Oreochromis niloticus: one gene and its partners. The protein of the gene in region 3 interacts with the protein of the main gene of each other region in a pairwise test. Links are inferred from orthologs where the notes say so. Each region holds a gene or a part of one and is shown on either strand. Other genes may lie near its edges. The genes, in order: pdlim7, ubxn11, enkd1 and brain-enriched guanylate kinase-associated protein.

What was found.
Region 1: the proteins of enkd1 (region 3) and pdlim7 interact in binary tests that used the Homo sapiens proteins (3 or more experiments, as listed by UniProt). The two-hybrid records come from large-scale screens. The link is inferred for Oreochromis niloticus from reciprocal best matches to the Homo sapiens genes ENKD1 and PDLIM7.
Region 2: the proteins of enkd1 (region 3) and ubxn11 interact in binary tests that used the Homo sapiens proteins (3 or more experiments, as listed by UniProt). The two-hybrid records come from large-scale screens. The link is inferred for Oreochromis niloticus from reciprocal best matches to the Homo sapiens genes ENKD1 and UBXN11.
Region 4: the proteins of enkd1 (region 3) and brain-enriched guanylate kinase-associated protein interact in binary tests that used the Homo sapiens proteins (3 or more experiments, as listed by UniProt). The two-hybrid records come from large-scale screens. The link is inferred for Oreochromis niloticus from reciprocal best matches to the Homo sapiens genes ENKD1 and BEGAIN.

The regions. Positions count from the first base shown.
Region 1 is NC_031966.2:28,750,452-28,757,880, forward strand, and holds the start of pdlim7 (PDZ and LIM domain protein 7), read right to left. Parts: upstream 3,014-7,429; 5' UTR 2,808-3,013; coding exon 2,778-2,807; intron 1,420-2,777; exon of another isoform or gene 1,262-1,419; intron 529-1,261; coding exon 430-528; intron 1-429. Other genes in the region: cltb (clathrin light chain B), read left to right, coding at 6,467-6,620, 7,187-7,230, 7,414-7,429. UniProt on the Homo sapiens protein: May function as a scaffold on which the coordinated assembly of proteins can occur. May play a role as an adapter that, via its PDZ domain, localizes LIM-binding proteins to actin filaments of both skeletal muscle and nonmuscle tissues.
Region 2 is NC_031976.2:7,542,474-7,549,931, forward strand, and holds the start of ubxn11 (UBX domain-containing protein 11), read right to left. Parts: upstream 3,016-7,458; 5' UTR 2,716-3,015; coding exon 2,645-2,715; intron 2,543-2,644; coding exon 2,502-2,542; intron 2,134-2,501; coding exon 2,038-2,133; intron 1,925-2,037; coding exon 1,824-1,924; intron 1,731-1,823; coding exon 1,679-1,730; intron 1,598-1,678; coding exon 1,518-1,597; intron 1,437-1,517; coding exon 1,370-1,436; intron 1,277-1,369; coding exon 1,059-1,276; intron 970-1,058; coding exon 892-969; intron 819-891; coding exon 695-818; intron 606-694; coding exon 502-605; intron 36-501; coding exon of another isoform or gene 1-35. Other genes in the region: fez2a (fasciculation and elongation protein zeta-2), read left to right, coding at 4,730-5,070, 6,372-6,480, 6,671-6,787, 6,950-7,082, 7,176-7,441. UniProt on the Homo sapiens protein: May be involved in the reorganization of actin cytoskeleton mediated by RND1, RND2 and RND3. Promotes RHOA activation mediated by GNA12 and GNA13.
Region 3 is NC_031977.2:25,927,981-25,935,920, forward strand, and holds the start of enkd1 (enkurin domain-containing protein 1), read right to left. Parts: upstream 3,007-7,940; 5' UTR 2,769-3,006; exon of another isoform or gene 2,681-2,768; intron 2,363-2,680; coding exon 2,278-2,362; intron 1,565-2,277; coding exon 1,340-1,564; intron 1,182-1,339; coding exon 1,006-1,181; intron 919-1,005; coding exon 763-918; intron 687-762; coding exon 544-686; intron 415-543; coding exon 278-414; intron 1-277. Other genes in the region: vdac3 (voltage-dependent anion-selective channel protein 3), read left to right, coding at 7,817-7,928. UniProt on the Homo sapiens protein: Microtubule-binding protein which regulates microtubule organization and stability. Promotes the stability of astral microtubules and facilitates the proper orientation of the mitotic spindle.
Region 4 is NC_031983.2:14,025,908-14,032,811, reverse strand, and holds the start of brain-enriched guanylate kinase-associated protein, read right to left. Parts: upstream 3,002-6,904; 5' UTR 2,904-3,001; intron 2,717-2,903; exon of another isoform or gene 2,576-2,716; intron 1-2,575. UniProt on the Homo sapiens protein: May sustain the structure of the postsynaptic density (PSD).

The DNA of each region.
Region 1 (7,429 bases), on a different chromosome or scaffold from region 3:
AAGAGTATCTGAAAATTCGTCCAGGGAAGGAGGAGGGGAGCGAACACAGAGTACAAAGCACACAGCAGGAGTGTCATGCAAAGAAACTGCATGTTAGAACAGATCGGCAAGGGTTACCAAAATGAGCCATAAAAACATTTGAATAGTATGGAAATGCTTCTGTAGACAAACCCCTTTACTATCTTACTATGTGTGCCTAATTTAAAAAAAAAAAGAAAATGATGTGATACATGCATATGCTGAGGCAAGGTAAGCCCTGATGACTGAGGTGGCCAAGCTGGTACTTAAAACCAACAGACTCTTGTTAACAGGCCGAGGCTTTCATAGAAGCTTAGAGGAAATCTCAGAGGAGAGCGCAAACACCTCAACTGCTGCTCTGCACAGATGCAAAAAAAAGTACAAAAGCTGATTCCATGTGCACTTTCTTACCCTTGACACGGTGAGAGGCATGTTGAAGTCCTTGCCACCCTGCAGCCTGAAGCCCCAAGGCGGCGAGCCGCTGAGGGTTACAGAGTACGTATTCATACCCTTGAGGAAGGAAAAAAAAGGGAAAAGGAAACATCTTAATTAGCCAGAAAGCCCGGAAAAGGTTCTCAAGGTCCTTTATTATTTTGCGTTATCTGAAACAGTGTATCTGCTGGCTGTCAGCACCACCAGCCCCCAAGAGCACACACACACACACCATACAGAAAATGGCACTCAAGTTGTTTTCTTTTACAGCAGATAATGTCACGTCTTAGTTTTAGGAATAACCACGTTACAGCAAGTCAAAATTAGGCAATAAAGAGGGAGCGGTGCTGGTTGGATGTGCCATTTTTACACATTTCAAAACACACATAAATAGCCTGGTGTCATAATCTAAAGCTAAACTCTAAGGTGAAGTTAGAGTCGAATTCATTTCAGTCTACTGCAGCGCCAATGTGCAGCATTTAGAAGATCTACTGCACAACAATAGCAGTAACAACTCCTCCTTCGGGGGGGATAATGTGCCACTTGCTGTATTCAGCCAGGTAACAGGTATCGTGGCTTCACCGCAACTAATTACTGCCATTCGGCGGCAAGGCACTAAATAACTAGGTAGTTTTAAGAACCAAAGGGCAACATGAGATGCAGGCCTCTGTTAGTGGCTTACACAGAGTTGGGGTTTGACCACTGACCTCTGTGCTCACACTGCTACTCTATCCCTGCTCCTCCTCCACCTCCTCTTCCGCAAACCTACCAGGTGTCACAGGTCTCCGTGACACACAGCTATGCCACCTACCTTGTCCTCAAAGGTCAGCTGGTAGCCCAAACCTGGGAGAAAGCTAAAGAGTCAGTAAGCTGGAGCAAGCAGATTCCCTCTCTGTTGGCAAACCCTACCCCCTCGATCCTGACTGTGACACAGGCAAGCCGTAGCCTCTGCTCACTCCTCAGAGGCTATATAAGGAATGTAAAACTACACCAAACTATTTCAGCCCAACACCCACATGAGTCACAGGGAGAGGAGGAGGAGGAGGAGGAGGGGGGGGGGGGGGGGGGGGGCAGAGGAGGGGGGGGGGGGGGGGGGGGGCAGAGGAGGATGGAGAGAGGTAACGTCAACGACCCATGGATTCTGGCACGGGCCAGGAGATTTTTTTTCTCCTCCTCTAAGTTCATTGCACTTGGGAAACGGCGGACGGCCACAAATGAAGCAAAGCACACAGACCTCTACATTCTTTCTGGAGGGCATGAAACATAGTGCAAGCAAGAAAAAAAAAAAAAAAAAGCCCTCAGCAATTATACTTTAACATCAAGCTCTTAAAGCAACAGAGCAGCTCACACACACTGTAAAGACTGGTGAGACAGTGGTGTGCTCACAGATAAGGAAAATCTAGCAGCACAGCCTTTAATCCAGCCTAGCACCCCAAATAATCCCACTAAGAAAACCTGCAAATCTGCTCAAGTTAATGGAAATCCTCAAAATAAAAAAAGACTTCCATTCGCATTCATTTACTGTCAATGCACCCTGTAGATCTGTACAAACCTGACTCTTTACTGGCAAAGCTTAAATTAGTTTTTCTCAGAGCCAGGGAAATGAATTATGATACAGAGGCGCATAAGGCGACACACAGAAAGACCTGCAGCAGGAGCAGCAGGTAATGGAGGCTAGATTTCACTGGTGATAAACACCACACTGAAAGCTGATTATTCAGACTGTATTAAAGCGGAGGAAGTAACAGCATTAATGTGAATGCACTCCAGTTAATTAAACACCACCCTGTATGATAAGCAAGAGAATAAAAGCATCAGTTTTAAGCCAATAAATGTGTGGCACTCATCCCCATGCTTATGGTGTTGCTATTTATAATCTTCTATATTATTGCCGCTGCTGCATTAGTTCTATAGGAACTCGTGTTGCTTTTAATGAGAGCTCAAATACACGAAATTTTTTGGTTAATACGCTACGCAATTACGAGCTTACACGGGTTTCTTTTAAATAACTTAAATGCGTCCAGCACACTAATTTCCCAGCGGTAATTAAAGGCCACGCTGTGAACGCTGTACCCCGGTTAACACCGCCGCAGACAGCCAGGTTTCCACTCGCGACAACACGGGACACGAAAACCGGACAAAACTCTCGGCTCTGACAAAGTAGTTAGCACAGCTACAGAGCAGCAGGGGCTCGGGGAAGATGGCCAGAAGCATGAGCCTGCACAGTTTGGAGCACCAGCTTAATCCATACAAACCTCCTCTGTGGGGGGGAAAAGTTGGTTTGAAGAAGTTACACCACACAAACACACAAAGATGCATTAGCTTACCTCTTGTGTCTCTCTGTGCTCGCCGGACATCACGAGTGTACCGGATTAAAAATAATTAAAAAATAAGATAATAAGTCGGTTGGCAAGCAGGCAACTTTTCAGACTTCCTTGAGGCAAACGTTAGGAAGCCGCCGTGGATCCCCCTGGTGAGCAGCAAACTCATTCCCTCAAATTCTTTTTAGCAGGACTCTGCTGAGACGTCAGAAGTCACATGGGCGGAGGCTTCATTTCACTCAGAGGCCGAGTTGCACTCATCAGCTGCTACTACTAAAGCCATTCATCACAGCCGCCATGAAACCGCTTTTCTCAATCACTCCGTCGGTTTTAACTAAAGGAAAATAAATAAATAAATGAATAAGAGTAGGCCTCAGAGATAAACATGAACTAATCCAGGACACCACCCCTGAAGAATAACTTTTTACACACGCTGTTTGCTGCACTTACTAGCTAAGCCATTATTATTTAATTGTAATAGGGTAACTTAATTTGACATGACCTATTCTAAATGGAGAGAGAAACAGTTTTACTAGTAAGTAAAACTAGTACCGTCTACAATAAACAACACAGTTAACACAGGTGGCTGCATGGTAAGAGCCTTACACTAAGAAATAGCGCAAGAGTCTGTAAAAAAAAAAAAAAAAAAAAGTGAAGTTAGTTTTAAAAAAACAGTCAAACTTAGACTGACAGTGTGTGTTGTCGTGCACATTTAATTAAGAAAGTCCGCAGACACGGTCAGCCGCAATCAACACTCTTTATTATCATGCGCATGTCATCAAGCGCAGTCCCTGAAACAGAAGTGGAGCTCTCGCTCTTTTGTATCTTTGTACATTCCAAAGAAAGGGGAGGAAGTCACAAACTGATCATAGCACATATCACGCCGCTCGCTGTGAAACCTAGTGGAACTTCCACTACAATGGGTATGCTGTTTCGTGCCCTTGGCGCTATCAGCACCTGCAAATGCAGTTGTTTTCTTCAACTACTGAGGCTGAAATAAGTTCATCTGGTTTTAGACTGTTCAGTGGAAGTTTTACATTACAGTGTCACAACTAAGCATACGCATAAGTGCCTATATACCTTAAATGAGAATAATAGAAATTTTCCATTACAGTGTGATTGCGTGAAAAAATAATATGCACACTATGCTGCATGAAGATATAATACAAAAATATGTCTGGGATCTTATGTGTGACAGGTGTGTTCACCTGTGTGTTCACCTGTCACAGCATGAGTACTGAGTACTTCATTTCGTTCTGTCACGTGTCTTTATGATGAGTGACATTAAAGAACCTTGGACCTGTTTTAAGCGGACTTTCTAACACAATAACTACACATTAATCATCCACAGGCGTTAAGTTAGGCAAAAAGACAAAACAAAACGTAATTCTTTCTGTTCACAAACAAAAACAGGTGTTAAAAAAACTTCAACTACAACTACAACTTCCGTCTCATCCTATCCCCAGCATCCTCCTCTGCCACACCAACCCTCTGCATGTTCTCCTTCACTACATCCATGAATCTCCTCTGTGGTCTTTTCCTCCTGCCTGGCAGGTCTATCTTCAATATCCTTCATCCACTATATCCGCTATCACTCCTCTGCATGTATCCAAACCATCTCAGCCTCGTCTGTTTAACTTTGTCCCCAAACTGTTTGTCCTGTGCTGTTTTTTTCCAATTATGGATTTTTAAATTGTACAAAACAACTCCACTATCCACTTCGACCATTACTTAAAGGTCATATGGGGTCATTTGGGGCCTTTTAGTAATGATTATAGATGCAAAGAAATTGTTTTATTAATCTATAATACCCAGTTAGGTCATAGGCTGTTAATAAGATCAATAAGTATCAAACAGGAGAAATATATACAGTCAAGAGGGGTATATACAAAAATAAGAGAAAGGCACACATTAGAGAACAAGTTGCAAAGTGCTTGGAAGCAGTGCAAAGAAAATACTTGGTCTGAATAGACCGTGTGTGAGTCACCTGAGTGATGAGGATTACTCAAACCATGGTGAGGTGAGTGGGCAGGGGTGGGGTGTGGGGGAATAGTGTTTGTTAACAGTCCGAATGGCCTGGGGGAAGAAGCTGTTTGTGAGTCTGGAGATGTAGGACCTGATTGACCTGAGGCCTTGACGTGGCCTCCAGGGTTGGCAGAGGAGAGTTTCCCCGATGCTGTCAGTGATGTGTAATGCACTTAGTAATGTGTAGCTCTTATGATTCTTTTTATTTTCCTTACAAGGTCACAGGTTCATTTCACATGGATTCACTAACGCTTCACTGTACTGCTTTTTGCTTTTCTGTTAGAGGCTAAACTGCCTTTCAGCACACTTGTGATAAAGTTTAAACTAATCAAAAAGATCCTTGTCACACATAGAAACAGAAGAGATTAAATGCATTACAACTGTGTGACGTTTCTGCTTTCTTGCGTCCTAATAAGACTCGGCATCCAAGGGAGTGGAGGAAGAATGGAGAGTGAAAGCCAAGAAGGAGCTTGAGGACTGGCACGTACACCAAAATGAGCAGATGGAGAAGAACAAGACCAACAACAGGTTAGGATCTGACCTCCCCACCCCACCACTAATGTGCAGAGAAGTAATCCATGATAGTGGATAGTGTTTGTTAACAGTCCGAATGGCCTGGGGGAAGAAGCTGTGAGTCTGGAGATGTAGGACCTGATTGACCTGAGGCCTTGACGTGGCCTCCAGGGTTGGCAGAGGAGAGCCAATGATTTTTTGGGTGGTGTTAATTACCCTCTGCACAGCCTACATTGGTGTTGTGGGTCCAGGTGAGATCGGTGGAGATGTGGGTTTCCAGAAACCTGAAGGTGGAGACAGATTCCACCCGTTCTCCATGTATGATGAGAGGAGAGTGGACCTGTCTGTGTCTCCTGAAGTCCATGATGAGCTCTTTTGTTTTAAGGACCTTCAGCTTCAGGTTATTTTCTGAGCACCAGTGGGACAAGTTTCTCTACCTCTGCCCTATATGCCTCCGTCAGAGATGAACCCAGTATGTCATCGGCATACTTGACGATGACATAGTCGGCAAAGTCGGACTGATTGAGGGCAGTTAGTGAGGAAATCTTTGATCCAGGAGCAAGTGACAGGAAGGATCTGAAGGGAGTCCAGTTAAGTGGTGAGGATGTCTGGTTCGTCTCCCTTTTAATGACCCACTCATGTAGATTTTGCTGAGGATAGTTATTTTCCTGCGGGGGGGGGGGGGGGGGGGGGGGGGGGACTGAATGCATAACCTTTATGCTTTTCCATTTCTGTCTATAAATAGTGCTATATAAGTTTTGTCGATATTTTTTATTACTGTTACCGCATTAGTACTACAACCCTTGGAGATGACAGTGCTGTGCTGCAAATGGCCAGCAGATGGCGACAAACTCCAACAAAATGTAAAGGTCCCCTCGGGGTGCTGCCCCTGCTCTATCATCATACACATACTGGTTGAACAAGTGAAGAAATAATGAATCATCAGTTAAGGCCTTTAATCGACGCGTAGATTGTTTATTCCGTATGCTTTACTAGCTGACTCTATTTTTCCAAGCAATATTTAGAATAGATAACACTCAAATCGAATTTTTAAGTTGTTACTATTAACGTTGCAGAGCTCGGTGCCCTGATTTTTGTGGCTTTAACGTTTAGCTAGCTAAGCAAGCTCAATCAAACTTGTACACTTTTTGTGAAAGATGGCTGACAACGGAGCGCACCCGACTGAAGAGGACCCGGCCGCCGCTTTCCTGGCTCAACAGGAGAATGAGATAGCGGGGATAGAAAACGATGGCGACGCATTTGGGACCCTAGAAGGAGCCGGTGTTCAGCAGCCGCAGACCGACAACTATGGCAAGTTTGTCCCTGAGCTAACGTCAGCTAATGTTTAGCTAACGAGCAAACAAAGCTAACTAGAGCTAGCTAATATTAATACCGGGACTTGCATCGGTAACTTGCTTAGTAGTTAACCAACAAAGGCCCCACCGCCATATGTTAACAACACCACTGTGTGATATAAGTGGTTAACACTCTCACTGCTTCCTATTTAGATTCAAACTAACAGTACGTTAGCCTTGTAGCTTAGCTAGCTGCGGGCAACGACAACGTAGGTTTTGTTAATTGGACGCTATCCCACATAACATTAGCTATGTGACACTAGCACCTTAAAACTAAGCTAAAGAGCAAGTGCTCCTGGCCTTTTAACCGACAAAGCAGCCCAGACAATATCAAGCAGGTGACCAAACAGGTGTTGCTGCATTTCTGAAGTCTTATCCGTTTCGAGACCAAAAGTGACACCACTTTAGTAGTAGCAGCGAGCATAAGTCACTCCAGATAGCAAGGAAGTGTAAGTGGATAAACTCCAAGAAGTTCATCTTAACTTATATCTGTGGGTTTTTCTTTGTTTAAAAAAATGCTAGACGGCTTTGAAGAACCTGCCACGTTGAATGGAGACCTGTTTCAGGTGAGCTTCAGTCTTGTCTGTAATACTTTATGATGTCTGTCTCTTTACATAACCTATGTGTGGTTGAGTTTTATTCTGAACACCGTAATCATGTGATGAAGGAGTGGGTTTGCTGTGGCGTTCACGCATGAATGAACCGAATGGCTGTTTCTAATGGTGTAAATGTTTTGCGTACTCCAACAGGAGTCCAATGGCCCAA
Region 2 (7,458 bases), on a different chromosome or scaffold from region 3:
GAGTTTTTCTTGGTCTGCAGCTTTGTAGTCCATTCCTGTGCAGGATGGTAATCTGGTGATTATCTTCTTTGAGACTATAATTCACGACTCGAGTAAGTCTAAACGGATTTCTTTTATCTTTGGTAGCATGCTTTCTCGGGTGACAGCTCAAACCCTTGAAGTTTTTATTGGAGTTTTTATTGGAAGCTAACTCTCAGTTTTAACTTCTTAGCTTCGAGCATTACAACGTTAAAGCACATCATTGCACAGCAGTAGTGCCTGCTATGGTTTTTCAGGGAACTAATAATACTAATCCTGGTAATCTGAAATAGTAATAATAATTGATGCTTTGTAAAGAAAAATACAATGTTTACAAATGTTATGTTAAAAATTCCTTGCTCTGTTTAAAAAAGCACTCAAGAAAATGTTGACAAAGCTTTTAAACTTCTTAGGGTGGCTGGTAATTTTGTCCTCATCTGTATATCTGTACAAACAGATCATTGCTGCTTCTCTATGACTCACCTGCAGCTTTGCCCTCAGCGAGTTCCTGATATCAATCACTCGGCCGGCCTTCACCACCAACTTCGGCAGCTTGTTCAGGAACTGATCCGTGGTCATCTTCTTGCCTTTGAATCAGAAGAAAACATGAGAATGACAGCAAAGTCTCTGAGGATCTGCACCGTGGCTTTGATCAGGGTGACGTTTGCAGACAGACCGGGTAAGTGAGAGCTCAGCGCGCTTGCTGATTCATCTTTGTCCCCACAAACAGGCTGTCCTTCACCAGGAAACGTTTCCCATGGGAGCCTAGAGTTGAATTCCTCGTAACGCCTGTCATGAAGCTGCAAAGAGAATTTCTGTGAAGACACTCAATTGTTCCCAAAAACAAAATAAGAAGAAGAAACTGAGACTCACCTCAAAAGGTACACCATCTGGAAATCTTTCTTGAAGCTCAGATGGAAAATAGCCATCCATTAGATCTTGCATGCACTGCTGCAGGGACCAAGAGTTGATGACTTTTAACCAAGGAAAGATTCCAGTTTAATATAGACTTTGATTTTCCTATTTTCAGTGTAGCTAACCTGGGTGCTGTGCTCCTGATATGAGCGGAAAGGACCATCAAACATTACAATGCCATTCCTGTAGAGCCTCAGTGGAATGGGATCCTTTTTAGCCAGCTGTGCTCCTGTCGCTGTCATTTGCACAAAAGACTCTCCTTCCCCTGCGAGGACGTTCAGTTCTCTGATCCTCTGCAGCACGAGATCAAAGTTTATGTGGAAGCCTCTGCTACCAGAAGTCTCTGAAGAAGAGAACAAAACAAAACAAAAACAGCACAGCTTTAAGATACAAAAGACACGAAGGGATTGCAGGTCTGCGGGACTGGTGGATCTACCTCGCTCTGCAGGATCACCAGTGTCTGTATCTCCCACCCAGATCAAACCATAATCGTTCAGAAAGTCCTGCAACAACGACAGCAGCTCAGTGAAACCTCCACACTGATAGAATCACAGTCTCATACTTTATGGACACACCTTACTCACCTCCATCTCATGCACTTGATTTTGCAGTTGTTGGCACCGGCTTTCGAGATCATCTCTGCTCCTCGGGTCATGCATGCTTCCTAAATCCACACAATCATGAAATCGCTTTGATCGACCAAACATAAATCGAACTCAAGTCTGTGCCTGCTGTAGATAATTACCTGACTTCTCCTGAGCCCTCAGCTTCTCCTCTAAATCTGAAATCTGTTTATCCTTGGGAGGAATGACGAAACCATAAAGTGAGGTTTAAACATGTTTAAAGATGGCTGGCAGTTTTGGTATTCGTTGAAGTGGTTGCATGCTCACTTTGCGCTCTATCTCCTTTGCCTGGCTCCTCACTGTTTTCTCCAGGAGGGTCACTCGCTGCACCATGGCAGACATGAGGTCAAAGTTGGTCGGAGGACACCCTGAAAACCAGCAGTTAAGTATTAGAAAAATAAAACGTATAATCATTTTGTATGTGATAAATAAAAAAAGATATATTCGACACTGGAATGGGAAGCATTGTGTTAATGCCTACCTTTCTTTAATGGAGCTCCCGTATTTGAGGTGGAGGCTTCGTTGGGTGGAGTGTGAGAGTAATCAGAAGACTCATCGGCCAATTCAGCCTCAAATTCTAAAAACAAAAACTATCATGGTTATAAAAGTTGTTTTGTTATTTTTTCAACTGAAAAAGTTACCTGAGAAACTTGTGATCAGTTTCTCCAATAAGATACAATTATTATTATTTGGAACTCGTCAAATGTGAGGATGTGCTGCATTTTGCTCATCACAGTTTAAGTTATTTATGTTGTGGACACATGAATACTGTTAGATCTCCACACACTTTTAATCACGGTGTGACTAAAGTGTAGACTTTCAGCTTTAATTTAAGGGGTTTAAAAGAAAAGTAGTTCTAGTTCTAGCTGGGATGTATTTATTTATTCTGTATTTGTACTTTACTGAATTTGCAGTGCTGCTGGTGGTCTGTGAGTGCATCGTTACCTTTCAGCAGATTCCTCCTTAAAGGAACTTTTGATTTGCTCCTGCAGGTCGAAGAAAATTAAGTGTGGCGACATGATTGATACGTTTATTTTTCACAATAAAACTACAGTCCAGTTTCTACCTGTGTGGAGTTAATCACCTACCCTTGCTCTTTGTGAGCGCCCTGCAGAGGAGTGCGTTTGGTTTTCTTTAGCATCGACAAAGGAGAGCTCATTTTAAATCCAAAGCCTGAATATCCCACACTTATTTCTTCTTTGGACTTCTTTCTGTTCAGAGAATGAACTATAACAGAGGTTCAGAGGGATTTCCGGTGTTTTCTCAGTTTGTGTGGAGTCCGTTTCCAGTAGCAACAATGTAACGTACTAAGTGAAATCTGCAGAAGTGTCTGTTTCACCCAGAGGAGGTCGCTCTTTCTGTCCTTACTTTAAAATTCTACTACCTCTGTTTCATAAGAAAAAAATTATAAAATGTAGACGTTTACATTATAAACGTTCTAAAAATGAAATACAAATAAAGAAATGATCATTTCATTTCCAAACTAAGTGATTAGTTTTTTGGGGGGGGGTTTTATGTGAGAAGTCATAAATATTTAATGTTTTATTCATCATTATAAGATGCATTATGAAATGTAAGCACTGGTGATGTCATGTTGGGAAACTAATGAGACAGAAAAACAAAACAAAAAAGCCTTTTTTTTTTTCATTTAAGATAAACGAACATTGATGAGTGGTGTTTCCTAACTTTGCCTTTACTGTTTAGATGCCGTTAACCATGGATACGCAGAAATTATGACGGCATCAACTAATCTTTGCCATAACTACCTGGTGGGCAGATTGATCAAAATATCGATACCAAAGCTTGTATTGGTATCAGATCGACACTAGCGCATTAGATTGATACTTTTTTGCCCTATCCTCTAAGTTCAGTATGGAGCCCACTCAATTTTGGGGTGGAGGGAAAAGAAAAAATAAAAACACTTTTTCTGTTGACTGCCACATTTATTTTATTTATAACCTATAGTACAGAAGTTGGTCCAAAGCCCTTTAGAGACAGGCACATTTACATCACAGATCTCCAAAATAAAAGGTTTTGTTGTGCAAACAAATTACTGTGGAAAATAATTAGTGGTTTAGTGATCATCTGTGCCTTTAATGCACATTATTAGTCATATTTAAAGCACATATTCAACTGGATACACAATAAAATAGTACCTTCATAAGCAATCTAATTACTTGTATAACCTAAGAATAATTCAGTGTCTAAGAATAATTCAGAATTAATAACCACAGTTTTCAGGTTAATACACCAGTTTACACTTTAATTATGAAACCTGAGACAAAGGCTTAATCATGTTGACCAGAATCCTCCGAAGTAAGTTTGTTTCAGTATTGTTTACACCATTGTTTCAGTCTCTTAACCACATAAATGCTGTCCATGGTATATTAAGCAATTAAAAACGTCACACTGGCGCTCCATACATCTGGATTAAATAGAAACTCGTAATAGAGTTTCTTTTATATGACAGTTTTTTAATTCATAGTCCTTCTGTTATTGTGTTATTGTGCAGAATCTAACAGGATATCAACTGTATAATACCCAACTTACTTTTCGTTAAACGAAAAATGTAAGGAGTAGAACATTTTTAAAAATGTAATAAAAGTAAAAGGTAGTCAGAAAAAATTACTCTAGCAAAGTACAGACACCTGAAAATTGTACTTAAGTACAGTTACAAGGTATTTATACTTCATTAGCTAACGTTTTTGGTGCTATTCAGAGTAAATACACATAATCTTCACACTTTACGTAACAACAACGACCCTGAACAGTTTGCACTTATGTGTGTTTTGAATCTTCAATACTGAACTGTGTCACGAAATTACCTCTTCATCTTCTTTTTGAAGACAGTCTCATTTTTCAGGGGAGCTTGAATACGCACACACACACACACACACCACCACCACCACCTCAAAAAGGGTATAAACTCGCCATTGTATAGGGTCAGTAGTGATAAATGATCATGATGCGTTTTTATTGCTTTTAACAATCACGTTGTTGTTCAGACCCCACGTCACCGTGACCTGTTTATATTCCGCGTCTCGCCGCTAGTCGGCCCGGCGCAGGCTCGCTGTGGGCAGTGAGCGGGCAGACAGGGAGGATGCGGAGGCCTGCCAGTCCCACAACAACAACACATCTATCATCCACCCGGGGCGACTAGGCCGGTCCGGGCTATGGCTGCACCTATAGCACATTTCGACGACGACTGGCCGAACCTGGGTGATCCGAGCATAGTGTCAGAGGAAGGGCTGCTGCCGCAGAAAGGCCGTGTCACCGCCGCCGCCGTGAGCGAAGCGGCGCCCCAGTCGCTCCTGTTTGGCGGTGATGATGATGATGATGTTCTGCACGACAGCAGCTTCTCCCCTAGAGAGAACGCGGGGTTCCGGTCTATGGAGGATCTGGTGAACGATTTCGATGAGAAGTTAACCACGTGCTTCCAAAATTTTGACGCCAAGACGGAGAGCATCGCTCCCGTGGCCGTGATCGCCGAGGACACGCTGCTGGAGAAAGACGAGTGAGTCCACGGCCTGTCTACGGCAGGCTGCGTGTTTCCCATCCAGTGCGCATGTGGAGGCTCCAATACAGTTTAAAAAACACGGAAAGACATGTTGGGAACATTTAAAATAGGAAGTAATGGCATCGTCATATCATCTGTTGTCAAGATAAACGGAGTAATCTTTAATTCAGATTAATCTTATGTGCCCTATATTAAAGATCGATATTGGCCTATACTCAGTTTTATTTTTAACTCATTTCTAAAATCAACATTTTTGTGATATTTTTAACATTGCAGCTTTTTGCAAGAGATATATTTGTTTCAAAATAACTGCTATATTATATTTAAAGTTGGTTAAAGTAATTTATCAGGTATGCATTAATAATAATAATTTCATATTAGGGTAGGCTGCTGGTTATTTAAAAAGTCACCTTGGGCATTTTCCTTTTTACCACACTTAGGAGTTGGGGATTGTTTTAAACCCCCCAGTGTTCATTCCAAAAACATTTACAGCCAGTTTCCCAACCTATTCATAAACTGAAAGGGGAAAAAAAAAATCAACGTTTTCAGTTTCACACTAGACTTAATCCATGTCTGGGAAACTGAGCCTTAAAGTGTTAAACTGAAAAGAAATGGGAGGTCAGGGGGTGGAAAAATCCTCAATAAATCCTAAATAGGAAACATGAAACTCTACTTAAGTGCTCCATCAGGAGGCATGATGCTGCAGCTCTGGGTGTAAGTGGCACTTTTTAAACGTCATCATCTGTGGTATTTTCAACCTGATAAGCTGTGTAGGGGATTATACTTTTAACCTTGGCATCAGACCTGCTTAATCTGATTGTTATGTTTTTAGATGCGGCATTAAAAAAGTATTTCTGTGGTGCCTGCAGTCAGTACCAACGTCCTTGCTGCTAACATAGGTTTGTTTTTAGTAAAAAAAAAAATATCGCTAAAGGGGAATTCCAGGAATGCTGTGATTATCTCAAGTGCTGCAAACAGGAGAACTGTTGCTATTGTTGGTAATGATTAAAAATGAGAAAATAATCTTTAAAAATGCAAAGAAAAGATGAAGCAGATCCTAATATGTACCTCAGGAAGATGTAGTTTTATTCTCAAATTATAATTACCCTCATTCTTTTTGCAGTTCATATGTTTATTTTGATTGATTTCAACCTTGACATACTTAGTTTGTAACACAGATCCTAAGATGTTTACAGTCATCAGATCCAGGCTTAGACCCCATTGGCAACATGTTCAGGCAGCTGCAAATGAAATCCGCAGAGTATGTGGTTTGTAATGAAAGTCTCGTGTCCCCTCAGAATCTGGAACACTTTGACGGCTAACTACGGACATGTGATGCCCGTGGACTGGAAACGTTCTCGAACGCACGCCCTCCACGTTCCCGCAATCAACCTGGAGGAGAAACCCGTGAGTGATTCCACCTCTTCTGGCCCATCCCATCCTATCTCTGTCTCATTTTTCCCTTCATCACACCACCCGGCTCCCCTCCCTCCAATGCCAAATCCCTCCTCCGGTCATCTCGCAAATCTCAAATATTCATTGTGCCAGGGTTTAGTGCTTTGATTAAATTCCCTCCTCCTGCTCCGTTCCTGGTTAGAGAAAGGCAGATGTTGTGTTGGAGCTGTCAGACGATGAGGAGCTCAGGGATCAGCTAGACATGCACTCCATCATTGTCTCCTGCATCGCAGAGGAGCCCCTTTTCACAGCAGAGCAGGTACGTTACACACCCTGTCAGAATCCAGCATAGTTCACCCCAGAAGCAGCCACACTGGGTCAAGCCTGTATAGGCAGAGCTTAACATGGCTGAAATCTTTTCCACAGATGTTTAATAACTCGTGCTCGATGGGTTATTTTAAGAGCTGGCTCTTTTATGCAGGTTATCGAGGAGATAGAGGAAATGATGCAGGACTCTCCTGACATGGAGGCAGAACATAATCCATCACAGTCGGACCTGTCAATGCTCTCTGTGGACGTCCAGCAGCCCAACAGCTGCTCTGACTACGAGGAGAGTGAGTGTCTGCTGATCAGAACAGTGTGTTATGATGGGTTATTTTGTTGCATTTTATGTAAGTAATTTAAGGGAATATGCTTTGGTGGTCCAGGGATGGAGGCCCTGAGCATTGCAGAGCTGAATGAGTGTCTGGAGGAGACTGAAATGAAGATCAGGAGGTTTTCAGAGGAGCTGGTTCAGCAGCTGGCTCTTAGGGATGAGCTGGACTTTGAGAAAGAGGTGAAGAACAGTTTCATCTCAGCCCTCATCGACGTGCAGAACCGGCAGAAGGAGTACCGCGAGGCGCTCAAGAAGAAGAAGAAGCTTAAAGGTGGAGCTGGGAAATCGCAAGGTCTTCCAGAGAAAACACTTGGATCGGTGAGTACTTTAACTTT
Region 3 (7,940 bases):
ACCAAGAAAAGAATTTTACTAGAAAAAAATAATTTGTCTCTTCAACTTAAAGGTGGTGATCCAACCACAACTAAGCCTTGATACGTGCTTCATAAAAGACTTCCTGGATTTCTCAACACACAGTCCAAAGACTGGGCCAGCACATCCCATCACTAGATTTAAGACTAATCTACCAGCTAAATCTTAATCTACCAGTTAAAAACACTGTGTAGTATCTCAGTGTTGGGCATTCCCGTGGCAGTTATCTACATGTATGAATGTAAGGGAGGAATCATACTTTCTTTTAAGGACTTCAGAGTCTCCTGTCTCTTATTCTCAGGCATCAACGTGTGTCCAGCTGGGATCGTAGGATCAGGAGCATTCCTCCTCCTTTCTTCTTTCTCTTTACGCCACTGCTCCTTCCTTTCCTGAAGGCTATATTAGTGTCAATGTCAAAGGGCAGAGAGGAAAAAAAACAAGGGTGTCAAAAAGGTCAAAAGTATCTAGTGGTGAAATATCATGAGCATTAAGCACACTGACACTGAAGGTTTCAATAACACTCACTATTGAGGAACCTGGCCCTTGACTGCACTGGGTACAGGCTTATCTCTGAGGTTTGTCAGTGACTGGGACCTCCGAAGCACAGTTTTTCCTGCAGTCCGGGCATTATGTTTTATGAAGTCTATTGTCTGACCTTGAACCTGTAACTGCAATTTAAACAATCTGTAGAAACATGTTTAAAATGTAGATGTGAACTTCTAATAAAACTTTAGCAAATCTCACTTGCAAGTCCAGGTCCTGTGTAGAGTTGCAGGAGGCCCGACGCTGCTCAGCTACACGTGAAGTTTTGGACTGTGGCCTCTGTGGGGAAGCAGACCCACCACAGGAATGCGCCTTCAGAAAGTTTTGACACTGTGGCTTAACACTTGGACTGGAAACCTTCATAAAAGAAACAGATTGGTCAAAACCTGATGAGGAAAAATAAAGTGCTCACGGATGGGCATCTTTCACAGATGTGCTTCTTGCCTGCAGCTGAGCCATCACCTTGGATGGGACATTCTGGTATTTTGAGGTGGTCCAAAGAGCTTTAACTGGAACAGCGCGTGATTGTGCCCTCCCAGCCTCCTGCTCTTTGCAGCGTTTCTGGATCTCTCGCAGTCGACGGACATTCTCTTTACCAAAATCATGCATCACTCGCTGTTCTGAGGGTAAGAAAGACTGTCTTAATTTCCTTTTAACACATGCAATCATTCAAATTCATTATTTTCATGCTTTCCATAATAACATGCTAAAAAATGCCAAAAGCTAGTACGTCAGTGTTCAATATTAATAACTAGTAGTTAAAAAAACCCCCACTTACTCTGTTTTGGAACAGGAGAGATAGAAACACTGTCTATTTTTAGTAATTCCCCTACAATCCCTTTCCGACCTCGTTCCAGGATATGGGTAGCATTGGGGCTGATGCGGGGGTGTTGTGCTGGGGTACGAGCACTGTAGCAACCTGGGTACAACACAGGATCTGGAGCAAGGGGCCCTGAAAGCAGGGCCAAAGTTCCATCATGGTTTCCCTCTAAACGACCCCGAGCTGGAGGAGAAGAGAAAAATAAAATAAACTTGAGCTAGAATTATTAGAGTTTTGTATTTGTTGCAGTTTTTAAGTATTTTGGGTGGCTTTAAAGCCTTTATTGTGATTTATTATAAATATTTAGTTTTCCATTTTAGTTTATTTGAAATTACTGAAATTTTAATATCCAAAGTGGGCCTGGTCATTTCAGTTTAGTTTTTATTAGTTTCAGTGTCATTCCTGTCCTAGAAAACACCAAACAAAACACCAAACACCAAAAATCCACAGTGTATTTAATTTTGATCATAATTATAGTTTTTTTAGTTTTCTTTTCTTAAGTCCAATTTTCATGGTTATTTGAGTTTACCAAAAATATTGGTTTATCCAGACCAACTCACCCTATGGCTCTTTAACTTTGTCTCCAAACCATTCAGCCTAAGCTGACCCTCTGATGGACTCATTTATAATAAACAAACATCTTCAGCTGTGCACCCTCAAACTTTGGCTCCTGTCTTTTTGTTAGTGCCACCATCTTCAAAGTATAAATCATAGCAGGTCTCATTACTATCTTATAAACTTTCCTTTTCACTTTAGTTGCTATCCTTCCATCACAACCCCCCCAACCCATATCTCAATGCTGCAATATGTAAATAAAGGATTGTGTAAAAAAAAAAAAAAAAAAAATTATTACTCTAAATTAATTATTACACCACAGCCACGTGGCTGCACCCCACCTGAAGCTGGTCGCTTGTAGTACTGGGGAAACAGAGAAGGATCCGGGGGAATTGGCCCAGATATAGACGAAGGTCCCTCACACATCTGAAAAAGACTTTGTGAATTATTTGCTAGTGTTACTTAAAAACACGTAAGACTGCTGATTTAATTTGGCCTGCACCTTTCTAATAAAAAGTAATTAACCCAACTCATATAGACTATACAGAAGAGCAGCTTCTGTACCTAATTCAGCTGATCGGAATATAGTGATTCTTCAGAATATAGTAGTGGAAATACATGTTCTTCCTCTGTTTCAGGGCTTGCTAAAGGCTAACTATTGCTATTGTTAATTACCTCGTTGTAAAGTTATCCCCTCAACACATTTTCTTTCGACGTATTCAGTATAAGATACAAAACACGCACCTGTTTAGTCACGAATAACTTGCAGGTAATCTTAACGTCGCTGCAACCAGCTGCATTTAGGCTAAAGAAGAGACGGTAATCTATTTACCTCCGTCCCCTGTTGTTTATCAGTTGAGTGTTTTCACGCACGCTGATGACGCCGAGGTCTCGGCACTTGTTGCAGTACTCCTCACCATGGCAACGGAGCAGGCGCACACAGAAATAGAGCAGCCGGGCAAATATTATTCATCGAAAAGCGTATATAGCGATCAAATTCCTGAAAGAATAAGACAAAGACAAAGCGCAGGGCTTCTTAAAACACAATAATAACTGTAATCATAACTAAAACCTCTAAATCCAACGGTTCCTGCAGTTTTAAACCCTTAATCCTGTCGCTCTGTGTAAAGGAGGTATAGTGACCCTGCGTGTTGTCTTTCAGGATCAGCAGTACTCTCTTCTAATTAATTATCGAGCTACACTCAAATCTTAACAATCCCCCTAATCTTAGCTAATGCAAAAATAAATATAAATATGACCAAATATCTGTCAGAGCATGCAGCGTAAGTACACAGGAGGTACCCAGTTTGCCTGATATGCCTAACTCAGGGTTACAAACCCAATCATTCGAAGGGGACATTAGCTAGAGGTCATTGTCATTGACTCCAGAGTGCACTTCTAGTAAATATAGCAGTTTTACAGTTATTATTCTCCCTCTTTTCAGCACTACAGAGGCTTTAACAATATGAATAAAACTTTTCACTAAGGTGCTTGGACTGAGAGTATGTTTACCACATTTCTTTGTTACTGGAGTAAATGAACTATAACAAAAAATATGAAAGATTAGTGTTTGTGGAATTATAGAAACAATTATTCAGTGTAGCAACCCTATTTTTTTAATATAGTATACACTTATATAAACAGAGTACTATAATAAAGCCAGATGCAGTTTTCACCAAATATGACAGTGATTTTCTTCCCTATTTCTTTTTCAGATGTTATCATTATTATTATTGTTATAATAATAATTGCCAAGAACAGATCAATTTTCCCCAGGATAAAACAAATATTTGGATGGATAAATGAAAAATTTTGTTATGATCTCCATTTTATACATGCCCTTTGTGGGTTCCGTCCATGTACACTGGGCTCTCCTGTAATAATATCCATTTCCCAGTAAGAGTATTTTTAGCACCCAGATCTCCATTCTGAAGGTATAAACCCAAAAACATATAATCTTACTTTCTCAGGGAATTTCACAATTAAAGATCACACAGATCACCATGTGTCCAATAGTCTTTAATAAAAGGAAAAAAAACCCAAAACATGGTAGCAGTTTGTACATTGGGTTTTGGATTTTGGTTTTCAGCAGAAAGGGTGGGTGGGGTGTGTGTAATAAAGCATTAAATCTGATCAGATTCTTCCAACCAAACTCCCTCTATTTCTGTTAGCTGGTACATTTACACTGAAATCTCTAAATTATTGTCTATTCTCCCTCAGGCATTATAATTATATATCCTTTCTCCCCTCCATTTTCTCTTAATGTATGAAGATGGCCGTGTTTTAATATTTAGTAATTCCAGTGTACTCTTATATACACTGGAATTACTAACCTCTTAGACCTCTCTGTTACATTTTTCGGCTTCATATCAACATATTTTTCTCTATTTCAAATAGAACAGCTGCTGGGCATTAATTTATTCTCTAATGAATGAGTAGGGATGTGTGCGTCATGGACACAATGTGCATATTGCAAACATTTTATAATAAAAGAGAGATTTAGTGCCCAATGTCACTTGCACAACGGCCCCGCCCTCTGCTGGAGGTCTGACCTGCGCCTGCTCAGTCTGGTTTCCTCTGCTTTCTTCACTGTGCTCCGCTGCAGCGAGCAGTCCTTTTAAACTCTGCAACACTCCGCTACAAAAATAAAGGTGAGTTCTAAGAGTCTTTTGCAAGTCCCTTATTTTATTTTTAAATTTTTTTAAGGTACTGTTTTGCGATTTTTTTTCCTGCAATGGTAGTTGTTGTCAACAACCGCATGATTTTTAGTGAGATATGAGTCACACAAGGGTGGGAGTAGCCGCCGCAGACGGCTATGCCAAGGTTTTAATGCCAGTTCAGGCCTGTGTGTTCCCATAGTTAGCCAAAATTAACTATCATAAAACATCCTCGAAAAACTGAAGTTTAGCCCTCTTCTCAAAACTTACCACGAGTGTTGACGGCATGCAGCGAAAACAACAAAACAAATTTTTATGAGCGATAATAAGTGGGATTTATTGCACTGTTGTGCTGCAACATTTGAAATACACAACTTAAAATAGAGATTGTGCTTTTAAATAAAGGAGATGTATATGAAACGGTGGACGCATCTGGTCATGAGCATGTTCGCTAAGGACAGGGGGACGTGAGACCATAAATCTACTTTAAAAGTCTTATCTGTGTGTTTGTTAAGAAACACAAAAGAACATTAACAACTAGCACCGCTATCTTTTGTCATTGATTGTAACCTGTTGTTCAGGCTTTCCTTCCTGTTTAATTATAGAATCTTATCCTTGCCAATGGCCTGGTGAGACAGAGTTTTATTAGGTTATTTGGATAAAGCAATCAGTGAAAAGTGCTATCAGCCGATATTTGGATAATCATTGCTGTTCATTGTTATTGGCATCGGTGTGTGTTATGCAGAAATAAAAAAAAAAAGATGCCTGGGTTAATTTAGAAGTGGTGTCCTCACATGGTGTGTTTAGCAGAGTAGTTCAGTAAACGTGGTTCACACCTATCTCAGCACTTTCTGCAGCACATGTAGCAGGAGCTGGTGCAAAGTCTAGTGCTGTATTTAAATTAAGTCGTTAACTAGATAGTGAAAAGCACTGCTGGAAACTATAAAGAAGATCATTTTCAGTTTCAGAATTTCACCATTGCCCGAGCTCTTCTTTGAAAGAGAGTTACTGTCCACGGGCCTTTTGATGGCCTTTAAATGCCTTATTGTGTCACTGTTAAAAGGTATATTAATGCCACTATTGGATGATGCAAGCATTGTACAAACTAAAGCTACTTGTAAACACTTGCTTACACACAGCAGAAGTCTTTTTGTTGTCACTGTACACATTAAAACCCATTAAAAGTGACTCTGATGCAGAACAGAACTGCATGTTTCACTTTACGTTTAAGCTATAACTTGACTGCACTTCACCTTATCTCTCACACACATTCCCTACATTATGGTACACAAACAGACACACACAGTTATCTTGGTTTGGTTATCTGTACGCTATGCTAGAGTTGTGCAACTGCCTAATTGCATATTTTGCACCTTTTTATGGCTTTTTATTGGATGGGAATGTCAGAATTATTCCTTTCATTTAATCCTGCAGACGATGTCAGTTCAACTTAAGAGGTTAAAAATCTGTAATATATATAAGTTGGTCTTCTCCACAGTTAATCTGGATTCAGATTAGATATTTAGATGTTTTTATATTTCACAGTGTATTTAAGAGAAGAAACAACACTCAAATTAGTCAGCTGAAAGAGTGCAACATAAATACTGGGAATTTGTGCTGCTCACAAATTGAGCAGTATGAACTCAAAGCATGTTGCGTTGGACAGTTCTATGGATTTTTAAGTCATTTAACATTTTGTTTGTGTTCAAATACTCCCATGTCATTTATGTGGAGTCATCTTGACCTTTGCGCTCACTCCACTCTATCACCTGGCTACAGCTTGCGTATAATAACGTATGCACATTGTAAGTATTACGATGAGTGGTGGATGTTTTTGCAGGTACAATAAAAGTGCAATACTTGTTAAAAAAATGTATATAGGGGTCTTAATAGGCTGAACCTGGAGGAGAACACATGTTGAAAGCCAAGTCACATGTAATTCAGTGTCATGTTCACATGGGCTAAATTTAGAGCTGAGACTTGGTGAGGAAACTAAGGGGGGGAAAATGGACTATGCGGAGAAGGGGGTGAGGGGATAGAGAGTGGAGAAGGATTGTCTGTCGGGTGGAATGACAAAGACAGATTGGGAATTGCATGTGGTCTGCCACGTAGTTGCTGAGTGTCTCGGAAATGAATATTGAGACCACCGGTGATGGACTGGATATTTCAACATTTGTATTATGTGAAAATGAAGGAAGATAACGCAAGCTTTATTTATCCCAAAAGTTGGAGAGTTTTTTTAGCTTAAGAGTCAGCGTTTTAACTCAGGGGTTGATAGAAAATATTAGAAAGCTAGAGGAGGGTGAGTGAATATTGAACATTCATTTGTGACATATCACCAAAAAAAAAAAAAAAGACACTTACTATTGGATTTATCCCAAAGTTGGCCATATCAGCCTAAAAGTTGGTGTCTACTACATTTGCTATTCCCCCCTGAACTCTGTTAAATAGCTTTGCATGATTCACACTTTCTTCAACTGGGCTTTGGTGCACACATTGAGTTCATATGTTTTAGCATCTTTTCCCCATTTAAGCCAGCTTTCTCCTGATTGGCTCCCTCTTGAACACAGTAAGATTTAAATAGCAAATCAGTTATCCCCTCTCCCATGTCATACAGAACAAAGTGCTTAGAACAGTCTAAAACCAGAACTTTTGGCTCACAGGAGTTAATTTTTACAGATACTGACCTCTTTATTTAAAACCTTGGTTACCCCTGTAAAGGTAGTAGGCCCAATTTAAGTCTCACTATCGCTTCTTTAGTCATGAATATTAAATATTATAAATGAAATACTTTGAACTGAAAGCCGTTTTTTTTCTGAGTTAAAATCTTTGTGTATAAATGGTGCATTTGGAGAGGGGTTATTGTAAATATAGATCTCTGCAGGTGATGCGCCAGACTTTAAGGAACCTGGCATTAAAGTGCATATTTACCTGTGTGATTTACTTTCGTGACGTGTTCTGTTTTTTGTACTTTTGTGTGGGGGATGGAGGAAAAACCATTTCAAAAGATCTTTTCACATCTACACACAGGCCTGGTTTGCATGCAGTGCACAGAGTGCACTGGTTTACATCAGTTAAGTATGGCTACAGTAGCTGTAACATGCTGTGAGCCACTTTCAAACAAGAGTTTGTATTGTGCGATGATGCTGTTAATTAAAGTGGTGAAGGACTTCTTGCCAAAAGTTTCCCATTGTCGCTCCTTTTACTTCTCATCTGAAGAGTCATGGCACAGAATGTTGGGATTGTACTGCAGCAGGACATGCCAGGAAAAGGCAAACATGCAGAAAACAAAGACCACTGTGTGACGTGTCAGAGCCACGCACCAAAGGGACATGGTGAGTGGGGTG
Region 4 (6,904 bases), on a different chromosome or scaffold from region 3:
TATGCACATAACTGTAAAGTGGAAAATTAGTACAACATGCAAAATACAAGACTTTTCACAAGGTTTCAATTATCTACTTTAATCCAAAACTCGTAAATCTCATAAAAACTGGCTTTTAATTGGCTAGTAGTGCACTCTTTCATATGGAGACAGTAACTTTGAAAGGGTTTGTCGGTGCATAATGATCTCAATTTCATTGGCATTGATTTAACTCAGCTTACATGTGAAGTACAAAACAGCCTTTGGTGATAAGCTTTGGCTTATTATCTATGACAAGAATCATTTCAGAAAACTGAGGAGGAGCAGAGCTCGTTGTGCTGCAGGGGGTTGGTGGAGCTGATGGTTTGTTTGGACAGACTTCAACACTTATTAATTTTCATCTTTGGACTCATTTAAAGTGGACCTATTATGTTCATTTCCAGCTGCAAATTTTTATTCTTGTACTGCACTAGATTTAGAGTAGCTTTGCATGATTGGCAGTTAAAAACAAAAACGTATTTATCTTACGCCGAGCCCATTAGTTCATACTATATTTGAAACAATCATTTTTATATTCTCTCCCTTTAACTTTCTACTGACTGGTGTCCCCTCACCAACAGCATGTGTATGGGACTGTTTATTCACAGTCAGAGCTTCAGCCCGAGATGACCATATTCAAGATTTCATCTCTTTTTCACAGTATTCAGAGCCAAGAGTAGAAAATCAATAGTTGGAAACTGAGCTCTTGGAGCAGTCTGAAGCCTGAGGTTTTGATTAACAGGGATTACCTGCACATATCCATACATTATTATTTGAAACCTCTGGCCATATATATGAGGATTAGCATAATTTGCTTGCATGGACAAGGGACATTTCCCCATCTCTGGTCATACCAGCCTATCACATGGCAAAATAGCAAAGAAAATCTAATCATGTTCATTTTTCCTGGACACAAATTCGCACATTTGTGTCACAGTAAGCACGACTTTGAAAATTAGTGGTAAGTATATTAGCAAGGATATTTTATGCCTGGAGCACATAGAGGGGACACACCATCCTGGCAACCAAGATAACTGAGCTCTGAAAAAAAGTGTCAGCTAGTGAATGATCTTTTTTCTAAATCCAACTGAGTAGTTTCTTAAGATAATTAATAATTTAAAAGAAATGCAATGAAATAATTTCAGTCCCAAAGCACCAGCAGGGTATCTGTGTGCAAAAACTATAGTTAGTTAAATACAGTGAAAAGGACTGAAAGGAGCATGTTATGATATTTTATAGGATCCTCAGAGAAAAGGGGAAACCAGACTTTTTTCCCCAGTTTTCAAAGTAGAAAGATACCTAGCTGCCTGGTTAATTCATTTATTTGTCTGCCAGCATACTGTGTTACTGCATTTTGAGAATATTTTATAGTAAATACTGAAGTTAAATGGCGCGTACACATTCAGTATTAAACACAATCAAAAAAGACATTTAGGATATGCAAAAGTGTGTAAATTGCATCAGTGTGATTGACATACATTGCATATTGACAAGGAATATTGGATAACTGTACAGCACCATTCCATGGGCATACCATTTGCAAATACAAAGTGCCATCTTCCAACTAATTACGAGTTAATATAGCTTAAAGTGGCAGAAGGTTAGCGCACATTGTTCACTCTTCCTTTGTTTTTCCACCAGATTAATTAAAGCTCTCTCCACTGTACAGCAGGTTTGAAATTCACTTCAAAGACTCAAAGTTTCCCCCTAGACTGCACTTTATCCAAGGTTCTGTTTGCTTTAATTATGTAACAGGAAGCAGGGATCATCTCCAAAATCAATGGTTCCTCACTAGCTGGAGGTTAAGACCGGAGGTGAAAGCAATTAACTTCTAGATGTTATGATCATGTTATGCTGACATGCTGATTATAGAGCCACCTAAAGGCAATGTATCACCAAAGGCTTTAGGATTTCCTCACTGAAATTCAAAGTGATCACACCCATCCATCACGTCTTTTCTCAACTCATCAACTGTGCAATTATGGAGTCTCCCATCGTGTGTTCTGTCTTACTCTTGATCTGTACAAAGTGAGAAGTTTGGCTTAACGAGAGCAACTTTCTTTCTCATGATGGGCTTGTTGGGCTGTAATAGCCTCTCTGTGGTATCTTCTTGCCTAGTGAAATATTATGAGAGTAAATTGAGGGCTGTGAAAAAAAACGTGGTAACTCATTATTCTCATACCACTAAAATACAGACAACAATAATAACCCCTAAAGAACAATACCAGTTTAGTTCAACTTGACCAAATGATCATGATCAACCTAACTTAATGCAGTGACTTCCAGTAAAAGAAAACCTTCAGATTTTACTCCAGTATGCTGCACAACATGTAGTCACATTCTCCAAACATAGTGTACTGTTGAATGCAGAGCAGTCTACCCAGCCCTTTTTCTCAAAGCGCTCAGAATATGCAACACATGAACAGAGAGGCACAACAGCTACAGAAGAGCCCTCACAACAATCATTACTTTCACAAGTGCAGCAAAGCAACTACACACACTTATCTCAGCGTCACTAATGAAACCAGGCATGCACTTCTTCGCTTCCTTGCCTTACCGTTTATATGCCATTTGCCTCATTTTCAGCAGATAAAATCACTACATTCATGTGCCTGTGCATCCCCTCAGAGCTGCATGCATTTAGAAAAAGACTCCTCTAATTCTGACTGGAGACAGGGCTGGTAGGCAGAGAGAGAGAGATAGAGAGAGGGGGGAGAGAGAGAAAATGAGAGAGGGAGCTGAGAATTGAATGGAGCAGGAGGAGGTGTTCTGGAAGAGGAGGGGTTAGGGGAGTGATGGAGAGAAGAGCGAAGAGAGAGAGGGGAGAGGTGTGGCTGAAGGTGTAACTGCTGGGAGGAGAGGAAGTAAAAGTGAAAGTGGCCAACCTTGTGTCATGCTGCGCCTCGCCATCAGATTCCTGGTAGGAAGAGAAGCGGGTGAAATGATTAGATATATTTATCAAGCAGATTTATCTGGCGCCGCCGCTGCCACTGCACGCCGTGGAGTACCTCTTATCTGGTGTTTAACGAGCTCTCAGAGAGGCTGTGTCTCGGCAAACAAATATATCCATTATTTCCTCACTCTGAAAACACACACTGTATCAGTTCTGAGAACATTAAGTGAAAGGAGGAGGGAGGCAGAGCAAGAAATGACAGATTAACAGTGCAAAAGAAAAATGCTGTGTGCTGCAGAAATGGAGAGAAAGTGCCCAAGGGTGAGAGGCAGACTTGCAGACTATAGTTACGAGGAAAGTACAAAAAAGTAAAACGGTAAACAAAACTAAAAATGTTGCAAATTAAGTCTAAAAGAATGATTTGACATTTTCAGAAGTACTCTTCTTAGATTTCTTTCTTGATACCACTCTCTTGTTTTGAAGGTGAATGAAGATATAGCTACCTTAGGGAACACAAAAATCTGCCTAACATGAAGCTCACTGCTGAGCGCTTCGAATTTTATTTCGATATGCAACAATCTGTGGAAAAAAGGACCACGCTTTGCAAAAGTTATGTGGAAGTTAGTCGCTTCAGGTTGCTAACGCTGTTTAGTGTTTATAACATAAGCTAACTGATGGCTAGCTATATTATACTCAGTACTCGGAGCATACTCAGTGCTGCTCTGTCATATCTACACATGAACGCAAATAAATAGACTGGTCATTGCTTGCATATAGATTGTAAATAATAAGGATTTCACAAGAATTTACATTGAATTTTTTAATGCAAGTTACATGCACGGCCATAATGAACTTTACAGTGGCCACGAAGTCACTGGTGCTGCAGTAGGTTGGTATGTTTTCAGGTGTTTGTGTGTTCGCATGTTGCATGCAACTCGCGTCAGTCTCATTGGTGAGGATTCAGCAAGGTATATTAAATGTCACAGGTGCACAGCTCCAACATACGGGCTACAAGATTGCAGTGCGTATTGGTGAGTGTGTGGATGCCAGGCTTCACGCAGTTGTGTGGGTGTTACAAACAGTGCGAATGATACAGCAGGATGACTCATACAGCTACTGAATGAGACAACGCTCAGTAATCCCCCAACCCCCCCCACCTCCACGTCCATCCTTCCATCCCAGCATCCCTCTGTGTGGAGAGGGCAAGCCTAGAGAGAGGGGGAGGAGGATAGAATTGGCATTCCTGGAAGGCGTCACTGAATGATAATCAGCTCACATGGATTTACTTTCATTCAGTGGAAAAGGTAAAATATTAACCTTTAACTCGCTTTTGCTAAATGATGATAGAAAGGAGACAATAAGCACACATATATTAAAAATATTGACTTGACAAACACTATTTGTCATTTATTTTGTACTTAGCTTGGGCAGCTAAACATCCATCCATCCATTTTCTTCTGATTTCCAATTCATCATCAGGGGTGTCTGGAGCTTATCCCAGTTGTCATAGTGTGAGAGACAGGTACACACTGGACATGTCGCCAGTCCATCGTATGGCTCACACATAGAGCCAAACAACCATTCACTCTTACATTTACACCTATGGGCAATTTAGAATTACCAGTTAACCTATCCCAAAACCACACGTCTTTGGACTGTAGGAGGATGCCAGAGTACCCAGACACAGGGGGAACATGCAGACTCCACGCAGAAGGCCCCCTGGATTTGAAGCCATCTTGCATTTACATTACCATTTGATAAAACTTTTATCATAAAAAAATATTAATTAGTATTTTTAATAACTTTCTAATCGTTAGGATTTCTTCTTAGAATTATTTCTGATACCACTGTGGATAATTTTCAGCATTATTTTCATTACATTTTTTGAAACTCTGCTCCCACAGCATTTAAAAGTAAATCTGCTATTCTCATCCCAATATAAAGGTCATTCACTGCATTTACTAGGTGATGATTTTATCGAAACACACACATTAGCCCACATGCTTCATGTTTAATTACTGCTGTATTTCACAGGGATACTCTTGTATTGTTAGGATGCGTTCCGCTGCTGACTGATAATTCATAACTTCACTATGTATCAATTACAAGTTCTCAGTTTATCTCAGCTCGTCACATATTTTGTAATCCATGTATTTCAGCCTTGCCCTCCAGACTGCAGAGGACACTTCTCCTTCTTTTTCTCCTACCTTGAAAGAAGCACCCACCTCATCTCTGCACTTGCAAGCCACTAACTGTGAAAAGCTGCCATACAGCAGTTTTCTCTCTTTTTGCCAAATGTATTCCTTTTAATACAGACACCCACTCATCGGCTGAACAATTGCTAGGGAGCTGACATCCAGTGAATAAGTTCTAGTCAGGAAGCGACATCCCAAACATTTCTCTTCCTCCTTACTGTTGGACGTTGGTCAAAGTTCACCCATTTAGCAGCAGGGTATTAGTACAACAGTGCATCAGGTTGTGAGAGGCCATATTACTGGATGGCATTTCTATGCCTGAGGCTCAAAAGCACAACAAAAACAGAAGGGGGGAAAGTGTTTAAATATTTTATGTATCAGCTACCTTCACACTGGAATTTGTTTTAGATTCAAGCAGTCTTTCTCTATTTTAGTAAAAAAGCAGCAAATAAGGCAGATGTATTTCTTAATATTATATTCCAAAGGGACCAGTAGTTCCCATTGCTAGCCCTCTGTTGAATGTTTGGAGGGCAGGGAGATGCTAATGCATTTAAATAAAAAGTAATACAGCACTCTGAGAACATCCCGGCCACTGAAAATGCTCATCTAGTAGGTCGTGCTGTGATTTTGAGTCTATATTTAAAAGAAGCATGAGCAAGAATACAGTTAGGTCCATTAGTATTTGAACAGTTACGCACTTTTGGTAATTTTGCTTTTGTACACCAACTGTATTTCCCACCTAGAATTTCTGCAGCCATCTTCAGCTGCTGCTTTTTCGTAGGTCACTCTGCATTCAATTCGGTCTTCAGTAAGTGAAAAGGATGTTCTGAGATCAGCTGAATGACTTGGCCATTGAAGAATATCTCAATTCTTTACCTTGAGATACTTTTGGGTTGCTTTTGCAGTATGCTTTGGGTTATTATCCATTTGTAGTGCGAAGGTCTGTCTGATCAGTTTTACGGCATTTGGCTAAATCTAAGCAGAGCACAGCCCAACACTTCAGAATTCATCCTGCTACCTCTACCAGCAGTCACATCATCAATAAACACTAGTGACCTGGCTCCACTGACCTACATGCCCATGCTATAACATTGCCTTTCACAGATGATGGTGTATGCTTCGAATCACAAGCTGTTTCTCTTCTTTTCCCTTCTTTTTTCTTCTCATCATTTTGGTGCAGTTTCATCTTGGTTTCATCTGTTCCAAATTATTTTTATTAGGACTGTTGAGGCCCTTTCAGATGCTTTTGCCAAAGTGTAATCTGACCTGCTTGCTCTTGTGTGTAACCAGTGGTTTGCACCTTTCATTCATGAAGACATCTCTTCATGTAGACTTTAGGGACCAGAAAAGGTAGAAACATCCAAGTAAAACCCATAGTATAGCAAAGAAGGGGGTATACTACATGTTTAGCTTATACTACGACAGATATGCCTGTCTGTTTAAAATGTTCTTTACTGGACCTTTTCATCCACTTCAGCTGTTTTCTGTAGTCTTTCTGGCCTTTTGGTGTTAGTTTGATCACACCTGAAGTTTTTGCTATCTTTCTGATAGGTTTATCTTGTTTTTTACAGCCTAATGATGGCCTCCTTCACTTGCATCAACAACTTTTTGGACCTCATTTTGAGAATTTCAGTAAAAAGCTGGAAAATACAAATTCAACACTTGAAATTGATTCCAGATATTTTGTCTGCTTAATGTGTCACAGAGCAACAAGAAAATAGGCCTCACGTGGCCTTAAAACTACCTTCTCAACTGACCAATTATTTTTAAGCCTCTGAAAATAGGGCACTGTAACTCT